2 linked regions of the Diceros bicornis minor genome follow. The protein of the gene in region 1 purifies or fractionates together with the protein of each later gene. This does not show direct contact. Links are inferred from orthologs where the notes say so. Each region holds a gene or a part of one and is shown on either strand. Other genes may lie near its edges.

What was found. Proteins that work in one complex are often made in the same cells at the same time.
Region 2: the proteins of CDH5 (region 1) and JUP purify together in Homo sapiens (affinity purification with western blotting; 3 studies listed by BioGRID and IntAct, with this or other methods). This does not show direct contact. The link is inferred for Diceros bicornis minor from reciprocal best matches to the Homo sapiens genes CDH5 and JUP.

What each region holds. Positions count from the first base shown.
Region 1 is NC_080771.1:18,403,245-18,410,517, reverse strand, and holds the start of CDH5 (cadherin-5), read right to left. Parts: upstream 3,091-7,273; 5' UTR 3,039-3,090; intron 1-3,038. UniProt on the Homo sapiens protein: Cadherins are calcium-dependent cell adhesion proteins. They preferentially interact with themselves in a homophilic manner in connecting cells; cadherins may thus contribute to the sorting of heterogeneous cell types.
Region 2 is NC_080757.1:41,065,612-41,072,923, forward strand, and holds the start of JUP (junction plakoglobin), read right to left. Parts: upstream 3,017-7,312; 5' UTR 2,910-3,016; intron 2,903-2,909; exon of another isoform or gene 2,824-2,902; intron 1-2,823. UniProt on the Homo sapiens protein: Common junctional plaque protein. The membrane-associated plaques are architectural elements in an important strategic position to influence the arrangement and function of both the cytoskeleton and the cells within the tissue.

The DNA.
Region 1 (7,273 bases):
ACCCTATGGAGCCTTTTCCAGCCTTCTCTGGGCTTCCCTACTCTGATGGGGGCTGTGAGGCAGTCAGTGGGGGCAATAGAATGAACCCTACAGGCCTACCTGTTTGAACCTGCTCAGCTGCATAGGAGCTGTGTGGCCTTAGGCCCATCCCTTGCCCTCTGTGGGCCCCAGCTTCCTCATCAACCGTAGCTGCCTTCCTAGTCAGGAGGATTAAATGAGGTCAAGGGGGTGAAGCTGGCACACAGTAGGTGCTCAGTAAGTGTGCGGGTCTGTTGACCCACATCCACTCACCCTCGTCAGCCTGGTGGCTGTGGGCTCGACTGGCCGACTCACACCTGGCCTCATTTCCTGGTTCTGCCCTGGCCCCACCTCCTGCTCCCCTCTGTGCCTCTCCAGAAGGAAATCTCATTCACTGCCTGCCTGGCCTGGCCCCATGGGCCCTGCTTCCTCCTCCTCCTCGTATCTGCGCCCGCCAGGATCTGACTGTTACGCTGTGGCCCAAGACAAACAATCTGGAGGTCCCTGAATGAGGTCCATTCCCTGCCCTAGAGAGATGAGAAGACTGAGGCTCAGAGAGCAGAGGGGCTCCCCAAGACCTCCCAGCTTCCTCTGGGGCTCCTGCTCTTCTTCCAGGAAGCCTTCTATGATTTCTCCACCCAACATCAGCTTAGACCTGGGTTAGGATGGGCTTTTCAGTAGCTCTCCAGCTAGAAGCCAAGCTCCCGAGGGCAGGACTTGTCTCCTGGAACATTCCTTCCCCAGGGTCATTGGGCCTCCTGGCTTGTCCTGATACCTGCTTCTGTGGCTTGAACTGTCAGCCAACTGTGGCTGAACGGCCAGGTTCAATCTTCCTCCACTTATCCCCTCTCTGAGCTTCGCTATGGAGCGTGGCGGGGGCCGTGAGGTCAGAGGCGCTGGCCTCACTCATATCCTGCTTCCACCTTGTGCTAACTGTAACCTTGGACTGGCTGCTCAGCCTCTCTCGGCCTCTGTGGTCCCATCTGTGAAATGGAAATTCTTTTAGTAGCTTCAAGGCTGCCATGGGAGTGCAGAGAGGTGACGGATGTAGCAGGGATGGGTCCACATGGGCAAGTGGCCCAAGGTTTTTCCCTAGCTGGTGGCCAGTGTCTACCTTGTGTCCCAGAGGCAGCAGCAGAGCTGTGAGTCATCCAACTTCGGGAGAAAATAAGCCTAGCCCCCTCTGACTTCCTGCCCCCACGTCCGGCTCTTGTTCAGCAGCACAATTGCTCAGGTCAAGCCTGCATGGTGGGCAGCTTAACCTCTTCAAGGCCGGGGGATGCCACCCCTCTGCCCTCACCATAGTAAGCCGGAATTGGCAGGGCTGCCTGGGCCCCTTGGAGGTCACCTGCTGCCCTCCAGGCTGGGGCCCAAAGATGGCTGGACTCAGGCCAGACGGGGGACAGTCCCACTGCCCCCCATCGCCTGAAGATGAACCAGCGCTCCTGGGCCTGGCACTCAGGGCCTCCAGCATCACTAGCCCTCCTGGCGCTCCTGGCTCTAAAAAACCCTCTGGCCACAGCCTTCCCAAAACCTCCGAGCTGCCCAGGGTTCCTGCCTCCCCTAGAATGCCCTTCTTTCCTGTCAGGATCCTATCTGCCCACCACCCATGGCAGAAACGTCCATCGAGGGGTGTGGAGAACAAGCACAGTGCTTGGTGCAGAGTAGCTACCCAAAGTGCTGGCCAGAGGAAGAGCTGAGTCGATAGCCCCTCACTTGCACCCCCTCCGCCTCACCTGCTGGGGACTCACCGACCTCAGGGGTCAAAACCTTTATGACACTCATAGCCACGGTCAGCTCTGGGGTGGCAGGTAAATTCAGCCATGATTTCTCGAAGACTCCCCTGCTATGAGCCATTCCCGGTGCCAGGTGTGTACACTGCCTCCTTCAGGTGACTCATGAAAAGACCGTTTCCTCCATTTCCCAGATGAGAAGGCTGAGGCATGGAGAAGCTGCGTGATGCTGGAAGGAGCCTGGGCTCTGGGGTACAAGCTCCCCACTCCAGCTCTTCCTTACCTTCTCTGAAGCTCAGCCGCCTCCACTAGAGGCGGAGAAAGGATCTGTCCCACTCACTGGGTTGTTGGTAGGATAACATAATGAGCCCCTTTGGTTAAGAGCCTCCTATGCGCATCAGCTCCAGTTCCCACAGTAAATTGCAGAGACTCGCTATGTCCATTGTTCAGACAAGCAAACTGAGGTTCGGAGACACTGGAGAGTTTTCCCCAAGTCACACAGGAAGCGAGTGGTGGGGCTGGGCTCTGCGCCAGGACCACGGTCTCCAGGCTGGGCTCTCACCCTACACCGCCTGCCTTCAAGTCTTTTGGGGGAGACTTCCCTAAAATATGAGGGCTGCGGGGTCCCTTGGGCCCAGCCTTCGGTTATCTGGGTGTTGGGGGGAAGGGTGGGCCGCTTTCCCGACCACGGCTCCACAGCTGGTAGCCGTCCTGTGTGTCTGGGGCAGGGCGGGAAGGGGAGTCCGTAGGCCGGACCTCAGGTGCCCAGAGCTGAGCCTCAGCTTGCCTGTTCTGAAAGTGGGGGCACTGGCTAACGGAGGGGGGCTGAGCTCCTCTCCCAATCCCAGAGCCTTGGGGGAGGGGATGATGCCAGGCCTTGGCTAATCCTTTCCCACGGGGAAGGGGCACCGAGGGGGAGCCTAGGCCTGGGTGCCAGTCCTCCGCCCCAGTGTGCTGGGCGACTCGGGTAGAATCCTGCCCTCTCTGAGCCTGGCACCGATGGAAGCCAGTGGGCCCTCGAGTCACACCGAGTTGGAGAGTCTACATGTGGGAGAGCCGAGTCCTCACCCCCTCCCTCAGCCCTGAGAACACCTGTTCGTGGCCGGTGCCTCCACGGGGTGCACCAGCCCTGCTCTGAACCAGGAGGAGGCCGAGTCTGGCCCGAGGAGTGGATCTTCCTGAGACCCCGACCACCACCATTCTAAGATGGGGAAGCCGAGGACCTTCCGGTCCCGGGCACATGGCGATGGGTCTGGGTGGAGCGCGGTGCAGGGAGCCCTCACTCACCGTGCCCGTGGGCTGAGAGGTGTCTCCGTTCGTCTGCCTGCCTGCCTGGGGCCGAGTGTGCTCCGGAGCTCTCTGGGGCTCTGCCGACAGCTCTCGAGGGGAGCCACGCCTGGCCTGCAAGGGAGGCCTGGCCGCCGCCCCTTCAGGTTTTCCAGCTGGCCCTGGCCCACTTCCCCCGGGATGGTTTCCTGTTATTGTTCCTTTGTGAGGGCCGGGCTGGCTGCAGATAGGCAGGCCCCACAGTGGGCGGCTGCCTCGGCCCAGCCAGGCTGACCTCACAGAGGCCTAGCCCTGGACCCGGCCCGGGCCTCAGCTCTGGCGTCCTGAGCCCAGCACCTGCCTAGGGCCTTAGTTCACCCTCCCTGTAACCCCGAGGGCAGGGGTCATCACCCCCATTTTATAATAAAGCTCAGGACACTGAGACTCAGCAAGTTGAAGATGCTCGTCCACCCAGCTGGGGCGTAGCAGAGCCAAAAATCCAGCCTGGGTCAGCCTAGGCCCAGAGCCAGATTTTCCCAGGTGACCCCATGACATGCTGGGGTGGGGCCGACTTTGCAGGGGATGGGGAGGCTTCAGGGCGTCGGGGGTGGAGTGGGTGGGAGGTGGGACACAGACCACAGCTCTTGGCTCTGTGAGTTGGATCGACCTCTTCCCAGTGAGGGGGCGTGGGTTCCAGCTCTAAGGCACCAGACTGGGCTTTGGGGGGTCGTTTGGGTTTAGAAAAATCAGGTGGAGTCAAGCGCCCTGGCTCTGCTTCTGATGTGACTATGAGCCAGTCATGTCCACCCTGAGCCTCAGTTTCCTCATCTGTAAAATGTGGAAAGTCGTAGCCTGAACCTCACATGGCTATTGTGGTAAACGGGAGTCGAAGAGGGACATGAAAGATAGTGAAGCTGAAGGCCGGATCAGAGCCCGTCAGAACCAAGATGCTGCGGGGGAGGGGCTCAAATTCTGTGAGTCACGAGAGTCCTGAGGAGCTTTTATGAACTGCGGATCCCGGGGCCCCACCCCAGGCCGAGGGATGTGGAGTCTCCCAGGGCAGGCAGTGGGAGTCTGTCCTTTGACTAGTTGCCCCTCTGTTTCCGTGGATGAATGAATGGCTGGGAAGTCCCGAACCTGTTCCGTTGTACAGCTGGGCAGAGACCTGAGAGGGAGAGGCCTTGCCCAGGGGCCCTCAGTAAGTCAGTGGACACTAGTGTGGAGAGGGGGAATGGGATGGAAGAATATTTTTGGGGAGGGGGAGATAAAGATTTCTCTGTTTGGGGCACGTTGATGTTGAGATGGCCCTTACACAACCCAGTGGCGATGTCAGGTTGGCAGCTGGAGACGGGTGGCTACAGTTGAAGACAGGGGTGGCTACAGTTGGAGATGGGGTGGATACAGTTGGAGACTGGTGGAGACAGGGGTGGATACAGTTGGATACAGGGGTGGAGACAGGGGTGGGGACAGGTGGAGACAGGGGTGGGGACAGGTGGAGACAGGGGTGGGGACAGGTGGAGACGGGTGGAGACGGGGTGGGGACAGGTGGAGACAGGGGTGGAGACGGGTGGGGACAGGTGGAGACGGGTGGAGACGGGTGGGTACAGGTGGAGACAGGGGTGGAGACGGGTGGAGACGGGTGGAGACGGGGTGGGGACAGGTGGAGACAGGGGTGGGGACAGGTGGAGACGGGTGGAGACGGGGTGGGGACAGGTGGAGACAGGGGTGGAGACGGGTGGGGACAGGTGGAGACGGGTGGAGACGGGTGGGTACAGGTGGAGACAGGGGTGGAGACGGGTGGAGAGGGGTGGTTACAGGTGGAGACGGGTGGAGACGGGTGGGTACAGGTGGAGACAGGGGTGGAGACGGGTGGTTACAGGTGGAGACGGGTGGAGACGGGTGGGTACAGGTGGAGACGGGTGGAGACGGGTGGGTACAGGTGGAGACAGGGGTGGAGACGGGTGGGTACAGGTGGAGACGGGTGGAGAGGGGTGGTTACAGGTGGAGACGGGTGGAGACGGGTGGGTACAGGTGGAGACAGGGGTGGAGACGGGTGGGTACAGGTGGAGACGGGTGGAGACGGGTGGGTACAGGTGGAGACGGGTGGAGACGGGTGGGTACAGGTGGAGACAGGGGTGGAGACGGGTGGGTACAGGTGGAGACGGGTGGAGAGGGGTGGTTACAGGTGGAGACGGGTGGAGACGGGTGGGTACAGGTGGAGACAGGGGTGGAGACGGGTGGGTACAGGTGGAGACGGGTGGAGACGGGTGGGTACAGGTGGAGACGGGTGGAGACGGGTGGGTACAGGTGGAGACAGGGGTGGAGACGGGTGGGTACAGGTGGAGACGGGTGGAGAGGGGTGGTTACAGGTGGAGACGGGTGGGTACAGGTGGAGACAGGGGTGGAGACGGGTGGAGACGGGTGGGTACAGGTGGAGACGGGTGGAGAGGGGTGGTTACAGGTGGAGACGGGTGGGTACAGGTGGAGACAGGGGTGGAGACGGGTGGAGACGGGTGGGTACAGGTGGAGACAGGGGTGGAGAGGGGTGGTTACAGGTGGAGACGGGTGGAGACGGGTGGAGACAGGTGGAGACAGGGGTGGAGACGGGTGGGTACAGGTGGAGACAGGGGTGGAGACGGGTGGAGAGGGGTGGTTACAGGTGGAGACGGGTGGAGACGGGTGGGTACAGGTGGAGACAGGGGTGGAGACGGGTGGGTACAGGTGGAGACGGGTGGAGACGGGTGGGTACAGGTGGAGACAGGGTGGAGACAGGAGTGGGGACAGGTGGAGACAGGGGTGGAGACGGGTGGAGACGGGTGGGTACAGGTGGAGACGGGTGGAGAGGGGTGGTTACAGGTGGAGACGGGTGGAGACGGGTGGGTACAGGTGGAGACAGGGGTGGAGACGGGTGGGTACAGGTGGAGACGGGTGGAGACGGGTGGGTACAGGTGGAGACGGGTGGAGACGGGTGGGTACAGGTGGAGACAGGGGTGGAGACGGGTGGGTACAGGTGGAGACGGGTGGAGAGGGGTGGTTACAGGTGGAGACGGGTGGGTACAGGTGGAGACAGGGGTGGAGACGGGTGGAGACGGGTGGGTACAGGTGGAGACGGGTGGAGAGGGGTGGTTACAGGTGGAGACGGGTGGGTACAGGTGGAGACAGGGGTGGAGACGGGTGGAGACGGGTGGGTACAGGTGGAGACAGGGGTGGAGAGGGGTGGTTACAGGTGGAGACGGGTGGAGACGGGTGGAGACAGGTGGAGACAGGGGTGGAGACGGGTGGGTACAGGTGGAGACAGGGGTGGAGACGGGTGGAGAGGGGTGGTTACAGGTGGAGACGGGTGGAGACGGGTGGGTACAGGTGGAGACAGGGGTGGAGACGGGTGGGTACAGGTGGAGACGGGTGGAGACGGGTGGGTACAGGTGGAGACGGGTGGAGAGGGGTGGTTACAGGTGGAGACGGGTGGGTACAGGTGGAGACAGGGGTGGAGACGGGTGGAGACGGGTGGGTACAGGTGGAGACAGGGGTGGAGACGGGGTGGAGACGGGTGGGGACAGGTGGAGACAGGGTGGAGACAGGGGTGGGTACAGGTGGAGACAGGGGTGGAGACAGGTGGGGACAGGTGGAGATGGGGTGGAGACAGGGTTGGGGACAGGTGGAGACGGGTGGCCTGGAGATGAGGTTGGGGGGGGTTGGGGGGGACACTTAGGGCTGGCCCCTGAGGCCATGGGGCCAGCACAGTGGGGTGTCAGCTGGGTCATCCTGGGAAAAGCGAGGGCTGAGACTCGACTGCTGGGTTTGGAGGACGGAGGTCATGGATGACTGTGAGCAGTGCAGGTTAGATGGAGAGGAGCGGACAGGGTGGATTAGAGGGCCCGGGCTAGAGCAGGAGGCATGGGCGAGTAGAGGCACACGCGATCACAGCTCCTTCCCCAAGACTTGCAGTGGTGGGAGCAGAGACATGGGAGGCTTTTTGTTGTCTTTTTGAGGCTGTGGTGGCGTGTTTGTGTGCTGAGGGGGCATCCAGCAGCCAGGAAGCCAGATGATGCTGGAGCAAGGGGAGCGACCTGCTGGAAGGATAACCGTCCCGAGGCGGCCTCTGAGCGGGATCCAGCACATTCGATCACCGTTTGTGGAATGAACAAACAAAGGCTCAGACTTTCCTTCTCCAACAGGATTAACTCTGCCTTCTCCTGCCAGAGGGTGGGAAGGGCCCTTGAGGAGCCAGGACAGGCCCATGCTCTGTCCCTGGTGCC
Region 2 (7,312 bases), on another chromosome or scaffold:
GCAGGATGAGCTCTAGGTTTGGAGCCAGAGGACCCAAACACCAGTCTTGGCTCTGCTTGGGTCTTGCTGTGCAACCTTGGGCAAGTTACTTAACTTCAATTTCCTCACCTGTAGAATGGGGTTAGGACACCCGCCTCTAGGGATAGCCACAAGGATTAAGTGAGAACAGTCAATGAAAGTACTTGGTATCTGTAAAGTCCTCCCTCACCTTTTAAGTGACCATGTGTCAAGTATCTACTGAGTAGGTAGGTATTATTATTCCCATTCTGCCAAGGAGGTCACTGAGGCTTGGAGAGGTGAAGTGACTTGACCAAGGCCACACAGGTAATGACTGACAGAGCTGGGATTCAAACCCAGCTCAGTCTAAGCCGAAATCGCAGTGTTCAGAACTGCCCCACTGTAACATCTCTCCACAAAAACAGCCCTTCAGTAGGCGAGTCAATTGCCCCATCTCATTCTAAGGTGGCTCCTCTGCCCAACCCCTCCCAGGTCAGGGAGAGATGCCCCCTTACCACCACCACCCTCCCACCCCCACATCTACCTGTCCCATGGCTGCCAGCCCTAGCCTGATCTCCTCCATTCCCACACACTGCCTTCTCAAAGCCTTAGCCCCAGCAGCCCAAGCAGAAGGTCCAGAGGGAATGGGGTGGAGCTGGGGTGCAGGGGTGGGGCAGGGTGGAGGGGGTGGAGAGGGCTCAAGTCACCCAAGCTGGGGCTTGATCTAGCAAGGAATGACTAATTGGATCCTGCCTTTTTTTCCCTTCTCCCTCCTGTCCAGTAAGCAGCCAGCTTTCACCAGGCACCTCCTAGCAATGCTTCCTCAATATTGTCTTTTCATCACAGCCACAAACCAGATTAGCTAAACTAATCATTTAACCAATGTAATTACAATGCCTTCCCCTCCTCCACTTTGGCACAGAGGAGGGAAAACAGGTTATTTTTGCCCAAACTCCATACCCTTGTGGCTCCCCAGAGGTACCCCACCCACTAGAGCAGAAGAGGGAGGGGGTTCTCTCCTCAGTCTCCCCCTAACCCAGAGTAGGGCCTGATCCCTGCCCAGGGGCACATCATAGGAGTGGGGCTGACCTTTGCCCCCACTCTCCCATCTCCAACCACCAAAGAGGCCACAGGGTCTTCCCAAGTGAGTCAGGGCAAGCAGCCCCAATTTCCCCCCAAGTCTTCCCTTCACCCCAGGACTCAGGGAGAACCTGGCTCCTACATTCCCCCTCTGTTCCTCAAGGAGGCTGGGCTCCAAATCTCTGCAAAAAGACCACACTTCAGATTTCTTAAAACCTGTGTGAAAGCCTGGTGGAGATCCCCAACTCTGGCCAGGGAAGGGGCTCTCAAGAAATGGGGGGGGTGGGGGTGGCTAATGCAGCTCTGCCTGAAACCTTCCCCCCAGAATCCTTCCTCCTGTCCCAACTTTCCCAATCAAACTCTCAGGAAAGGGGGTGGGTGGGGAATGGACTGCAAAGCCTCCAGAAGGAATGCACCTTCAAAATCCAGAAGGCAAATGGAAATCAAGCAACATTGCTCTTTGCTCTTAGGCCTCAATTGCCAGCCAGCAAAACAATGTGGGGGATGGGGTAGAGAAAAAAAAAAAGAACAATCGCTCCCCCCACCCCCGTCTGTTTGGCCCGGCCCTGCCCCACCCCCATTCCTGGGGAGGGGGGCAGAGCTGGGGAGAAAGCCACTTGCGCAGGCCTCAAGCGAGGGGGTGTGGTGGTCCCCGGAGGCAGGAAGAGAAGGAAGAAGCTGCTTCCCCTTTCGGCCCACCCCCCCCACCCCGGCCCCCACCTCAGGCCCCAGGGGCCCAGCAAACAGGATGGAAGTGGGGGCGGGGAGGCAGGGTCACAGCGCAGGCACTGGCCCTGGTTCAGCCTGGCCGGCTGGGGGAGGGGGCTTTGCTCAAGATGGACCCCGTAAGCCTGGGGGGACGCCCTGGGTAAGGAGGCAGGAAAACCCCCAGAGAAAGCTGCTGTGAATACTTCCTCCTGGAAAGTTTGTTTTGGGTGCTTTTTCCGACAATAAGAGGATAGAGAAGAAGAATGGTCCGGTTCCCATATCAACACTCTGGAAGCGGCATCTACTGGAAACTGGGCCAGTGAATTCTCTACCCATGCACGACCCCTCTGCCCAGACCCCTGTCCGAGCCACTGGTGCCAGACCCCAGCTGGGCGCGGAGCCGGGCCCTGCACCAGTCCCACTCTCATCCCATCCCAGCACCCCTGGCGGAGCCACAGCCCGGCACCCACCAGAGCGGAGGGAGGCGCCACAGGTACAGAACCGACGAAGCTCCGGGAGTTGGAGGGCAGAGCCTCTGGACTCCGTGTGCTCACCTGCTCGGCAGGTGGGGCCCGCGTCGCTTGGAAAATGTGCGTTCGGCCCCACAGTTGGGCAAGCCGGGCGCAGACAATAGGGCCCCACCCAGGCCTGGGGGAGTAGGGAGGGAGGGAAAGCGAGGATGACGCGTGAGGTGGGGTGAGGGTGGCCCCAAAGAGACCAGCGGCAGCAAGTTTTCAAACAGTAAATTCCTGACTACAGAGTGAGCCCTGGGACGCAGGCGGAGCAGGTCAAAGTCTCCCCCGCAAGAGTCAGGGTGAGAGTCAGGGACGCGGCGTCGGGCGGGCTCCGCGGCCCCGGCGGAGGCGCGACCCCGGAGACACCTGCCCTGATCCCTCTCCACCCTTCCCAGATCTCCGGCTCACGCAGCCCCTCAGCGCACCCGGCCCGAACCTCGCGCCCCTTTAGCCGCCGCGCCCAGGACCCCAGCGCGCCCCCTGCCGCCGGTGCAGGGAGGCGCTCCCTGACACCCGCCCTCACCTGCCCTGAGACGGCGGGGGTTGGCCTCTCTCGGCCGCTCGCCGCCCTTCTCTCGCCCCAGCGCTACCTGCCCCGATCGTCCGCACCTGCGTGTGGAGCCTGGCCGGGCTGGGCAGGGGTCGGGCCGGGATGGGAGCCGGCGCGGGCGGCGAACTGAGGTCGGCGCGCTCGGGCGGCGGCTGCTCCGGACTCTGGCCAAGGCAGCAACTCAGTAACCGAACAAAAGGCGAAGGGACCTGACAGCCAAGCCACGCCTCTCGCCCCCTCGAAGCTCCGCCCCTGAGGGAGACGCCCACCCGCTGATGCGGGCTCACTGGCTGCCTCGCTTGACTGTCCCATCGAGGGGCGGAGCCTCGCGCCCAGTTCTCTTCCATCGCCACCTCTGTTTATCCTCTGGCCATTGGCACCAGAGACTGCCAGTCGGCTCTGGGGACGGCCTCCAACTTGAGGTTCCATCCTAACTCCGCACCTATTGGCAGATAGGAGGTTACTTCCTCCTGATTGGGCAAGGTGTCGTCAGTAAGACTAAGGAAAGAACCAATGGGAGGGATGGGGTGTGTCTTGCCCCACCCTAGCTCTGAGCAGGTAAGACTCATTACTCTCCCCTTCCCCCTACCTGTCCAACAGGTGAGTCAGGAGGCGCCATGGGAAAGGACAGACGCTTTCACCAGCCAGCCAGCTCAGCGTCAGGAATAATGCTTCTTTGGGCTTATTCACCCTTGCCACAAAGTGGTAATAAGATGTTTGTATAGCACTTCATAGGCTATTAGCTGGTTTGGGAATTTTTTCCTGAAAGATGGAATGCTCCTGAGATTTAGAATCAGAAGGCCTGAGTTTGGGTTCTGCCACTTAGGAGCTATATGATCTTAGGCAAGTTACTTCATCTCACCCTGTTTCTCCTCCTCTGTAAAATGGGTACATTGGCTATATCTCTCTCTCAAGGGAGTATGTGGGGATGAAATGAAGTAAAGTTTGTGAAATCACTTGGACAATTGCTAAATGTTACAATTTAAATTAATGACTTTTTTTTTAATTCTCGTGACAGTTCTGAAAAATTGTTAGGACAACAAAATGATTGTCATTTCAAAGATGAGGAAACTGAGGTTCAGAGAGGTCACAAAACTAGAAAGTGGCACATCCTAAACTAGAACCCCTTTCTTCTCATTTCAAGGCTCACCAAACTACATGTTCTCCTGGTGGAATATAGCACCGACATAAAATGTCAAAGCAGTGGGGAGGGGCCGGGGAAAAGGCAAAAACAAATTCCGGGGAGAGACAGAAGAGTAGTGATTTGGGACAAAGGGACAAATTGAGGCTAGACATCAGAAGGAACTTACCAGTGTTAGGATAAGGAGACAAGGACATTCATATATGGGAGGCTGGAGACTCTCCTTTCCTGGAGATTTGTCAAACAGAGAAATCCCTGTGAAAGGGACAAAGACTGAGAAAGTATTGGTGGGTTTGGAAGAAATCAGGCAGCAAGGAAATCAACACTGCCTAAAAGAAATGGGGCAGCAGGCCCCTCAGTAGTGGAAGAGTCTGGGTTAGTTATCAGAAAGAACGTCCGGGGCCGGCCCCGTGGCTTAGCGGTTAAGTGCGCGTGCTCCACTACTGGCGGCCCGGGTTCGGATCCCAGGTGCGCACCGACACACTGCTTCTCCGGCCATGCTGAGGCCACGTCCCACATACAGCAACTGGCAGGATGTGCAACTATAACATACAACTATCTACTGGGGCTTTGGGGAGAAAAGGAAAAAAAAAAAAAAAGGAGGAGGATTGGCAATAAATGTTAGCTCAGGGCCGATCTTCCTCAGCAAAAAAAAGAGGAAGATTGGCATGGATGTTAGCTCAGGGCTGATCTTCCTCACAAAAAAAGAAAGAAAGAAAGAAAGAAAGAACTTCCCAATAGGCAGCTTAAGAAGATAAGAGTCTTCTCTTTCTGTGGCTGATGAAATGAGTGCCTGCTGGTGGCAGTACAGTGTGCCAGGGGTCCTACAGACATTCATTCATCAATAGAGCACCAACTGTATGCAAGGCACTGGGTTAGGCACTGGTAACATGGAAAATCAAAATGATCCCAACCCTCAAAGGGCTCCAGAGGGCTAAGTGTAAACAGGTCACCTCAGCCGCTCTGTGTGTGTGTGTGTAGGGAGAGGGGTTGTTCGGGAAAGGGTCCTCCCTCAAAGAAGCATTATAGCCCCAAAGCTCGCACACAGGTGGGCTGGGTGAAGGAAGCCCTGCAGCATCCTTGACCGCTTTCCCCACCAGAGAAAGCAATGATGGCTAAACAGTTGCAATGATGGCCAAACAGTCGCACTTCTGAGGCTTGTGCCATCCAAGAGGTCTTCCTGGAGGGGGCAGGGAGACATCAACATCCCTAACCAGGTACCATCCCACGTGCCACTGCCCTGTGCTTCATTTCCCTTCCTCCCCCTCCTCCAGCTTACTCAGTATCTTTCTCCATACCTTACCCCTGCCCCACCCACCTGCTCAGCACCCTGCCACACTGTGCAGTGGCCAGCCCCCAGCTTGGGGGGAAAGGAGCTCGAAATCCTAGGCTGCTGCCGTCGCCAGGGTTTCACTTCCTCCCTCTTCCACTTCCCACCTTCCCTTGCCCACTTCCCACCTTCCCACACCCTCCCCTGCCTACACACACACACACACACACACACACACACACACACACACACACTTCCCAGACTCAAGCCTGGCTCAACTCCTTCCTTTCTCCTGACTTCCGCATACGGGCAGGGCAGGGCTGGTTGGCTGCAGAGGGGTGGAGGAACCTGGATCGGGTGGAGGGGCAGAAATAAGGCTTCAGAATAAAGCCTATGTGCATGTGTGTGTGTGTGTGTGTGTGTGTGTGTGTGTGTGTGTGTGTCTCCCCAGAATGTTCCCTGCTTGTCAGCCTGGAACATGCTGCAACATGCTTGCCCCAAACTAAGCGCTCAGGCTGGGACTGGGTGGAGGCACCGCGGCAGCAGTAGGAAAGATTGGGATGACAGCTGTGTCTCTCCGCCCAGATCAAGGGGTTTTCTGCACATTTATGAAGCACCTACTACGTGCCTGCCAGGCACTGAGGATTCATCTGTAGGATACAGAAAATGATGTTGACCAGAATCAGCTGTCTGTGTAGGGGATTTGGTCTCACAGGGCAAGGAGGTGCCTAGGGATGGGGATGAGAGTCGCTGTGCAGCAGTCTCCTCTATGACTAGAGCTTGAAGGAAAGGCCACAAGACCATCTTACCCAGTCCCCTGCCTCCAAGCCTTTGAAGGCAGGGATTTCTCTGTTTGACAAATCTCCAGGAAAGGAGAGTCTCCAGCCTCCCATATATGAATGTCCTTGTCTCCTTATCCTAACACTGGTAAGTTCCTTCTGATGTCTAGCCTCAATTTGTATTGCTGCAATTTAAACTCATTTCTCTTGCCCAGAGCTCAGTGGAAGCAGCGTCCTTGGGCCGTCAAGATCACATATGGTTAATTCAACATTGCAGATTTCTGGGGCCTCAAGTAAAGAAGGAAAGAGCACCCAGTGGCCCATCCCAAGCTGTCCCAGAGACAGAAGCTACTAGCAAAGAGGGGTCCAAGGAGGGGCTGTTGGGAGGGAGGGGAGCTGGTGGGGGATGGGCAGGCGCTTTCCTGAGGGAAGGTGAACAACAGCCCAGTGCCCTCCAGGCTCATCTCACTTCCCCTCCCCGCCAGGAGGCCTCTGGGCCATATAAGGAGGTAAGAGTTTCTGTTGTCTGTTCAAACTTGGCCCTTTCTCTGTGGGGTCCCTTCCCCAGACAGAGGCTGAGGAGATTTAGATCTGCACAAGCCACACACACAAACACACACAACCTTCCGTGCTCACACCTCAGGGATATACACTCATGGGCACAGATTCAGATACGCAAACACCAGACGCATCAACGCTTTCTCCCCAACAGACAAATACACACACACACACACACACACACACACACACACACACCCTTCATCCCTCCTCTTCCTCTAGGGTGGCCTCAGGGATGGTCATCTCTATCAAGGGAGACTGGGGTGAAGAGACGGGTTGCTAAACTTCAGGCTGACAATGGTCCCTCTTCATCACACAGCAGCTCCCTCTCCCCTGGCGTTAGTTACAGCAGCGGGAAAGGAGAGCGACAACCGGGAGTTGTCGCTTCCCACGTGGCAGGCTGGAATCAAAGGCAATAAGAAAAGGAAGAGGCATCTTGAGCACAGGCCGGCTCTCAGCCCCGGGGCAGAGCCACCCGTGGACCTGGGAAAGGGGCCTCTGTGTTGGGTCCTATCCCTCAGAAGGCCCCACTCCAGCCCTCCTGCGGTTGTGCCCTCCACACAGGGCCAAAGGAACAAGCCTATACAGAGTTCATGGCTCTCCCCTTCAAGACCACACTCCGGGTGGCGGAAACCCTGAAATTCCTTGCCCAGCAGTGACCCCGCTTCTAGGGCCTGGGGTCTCTCACTCCGGCCCTTCCTCCCCTCCCGAGGA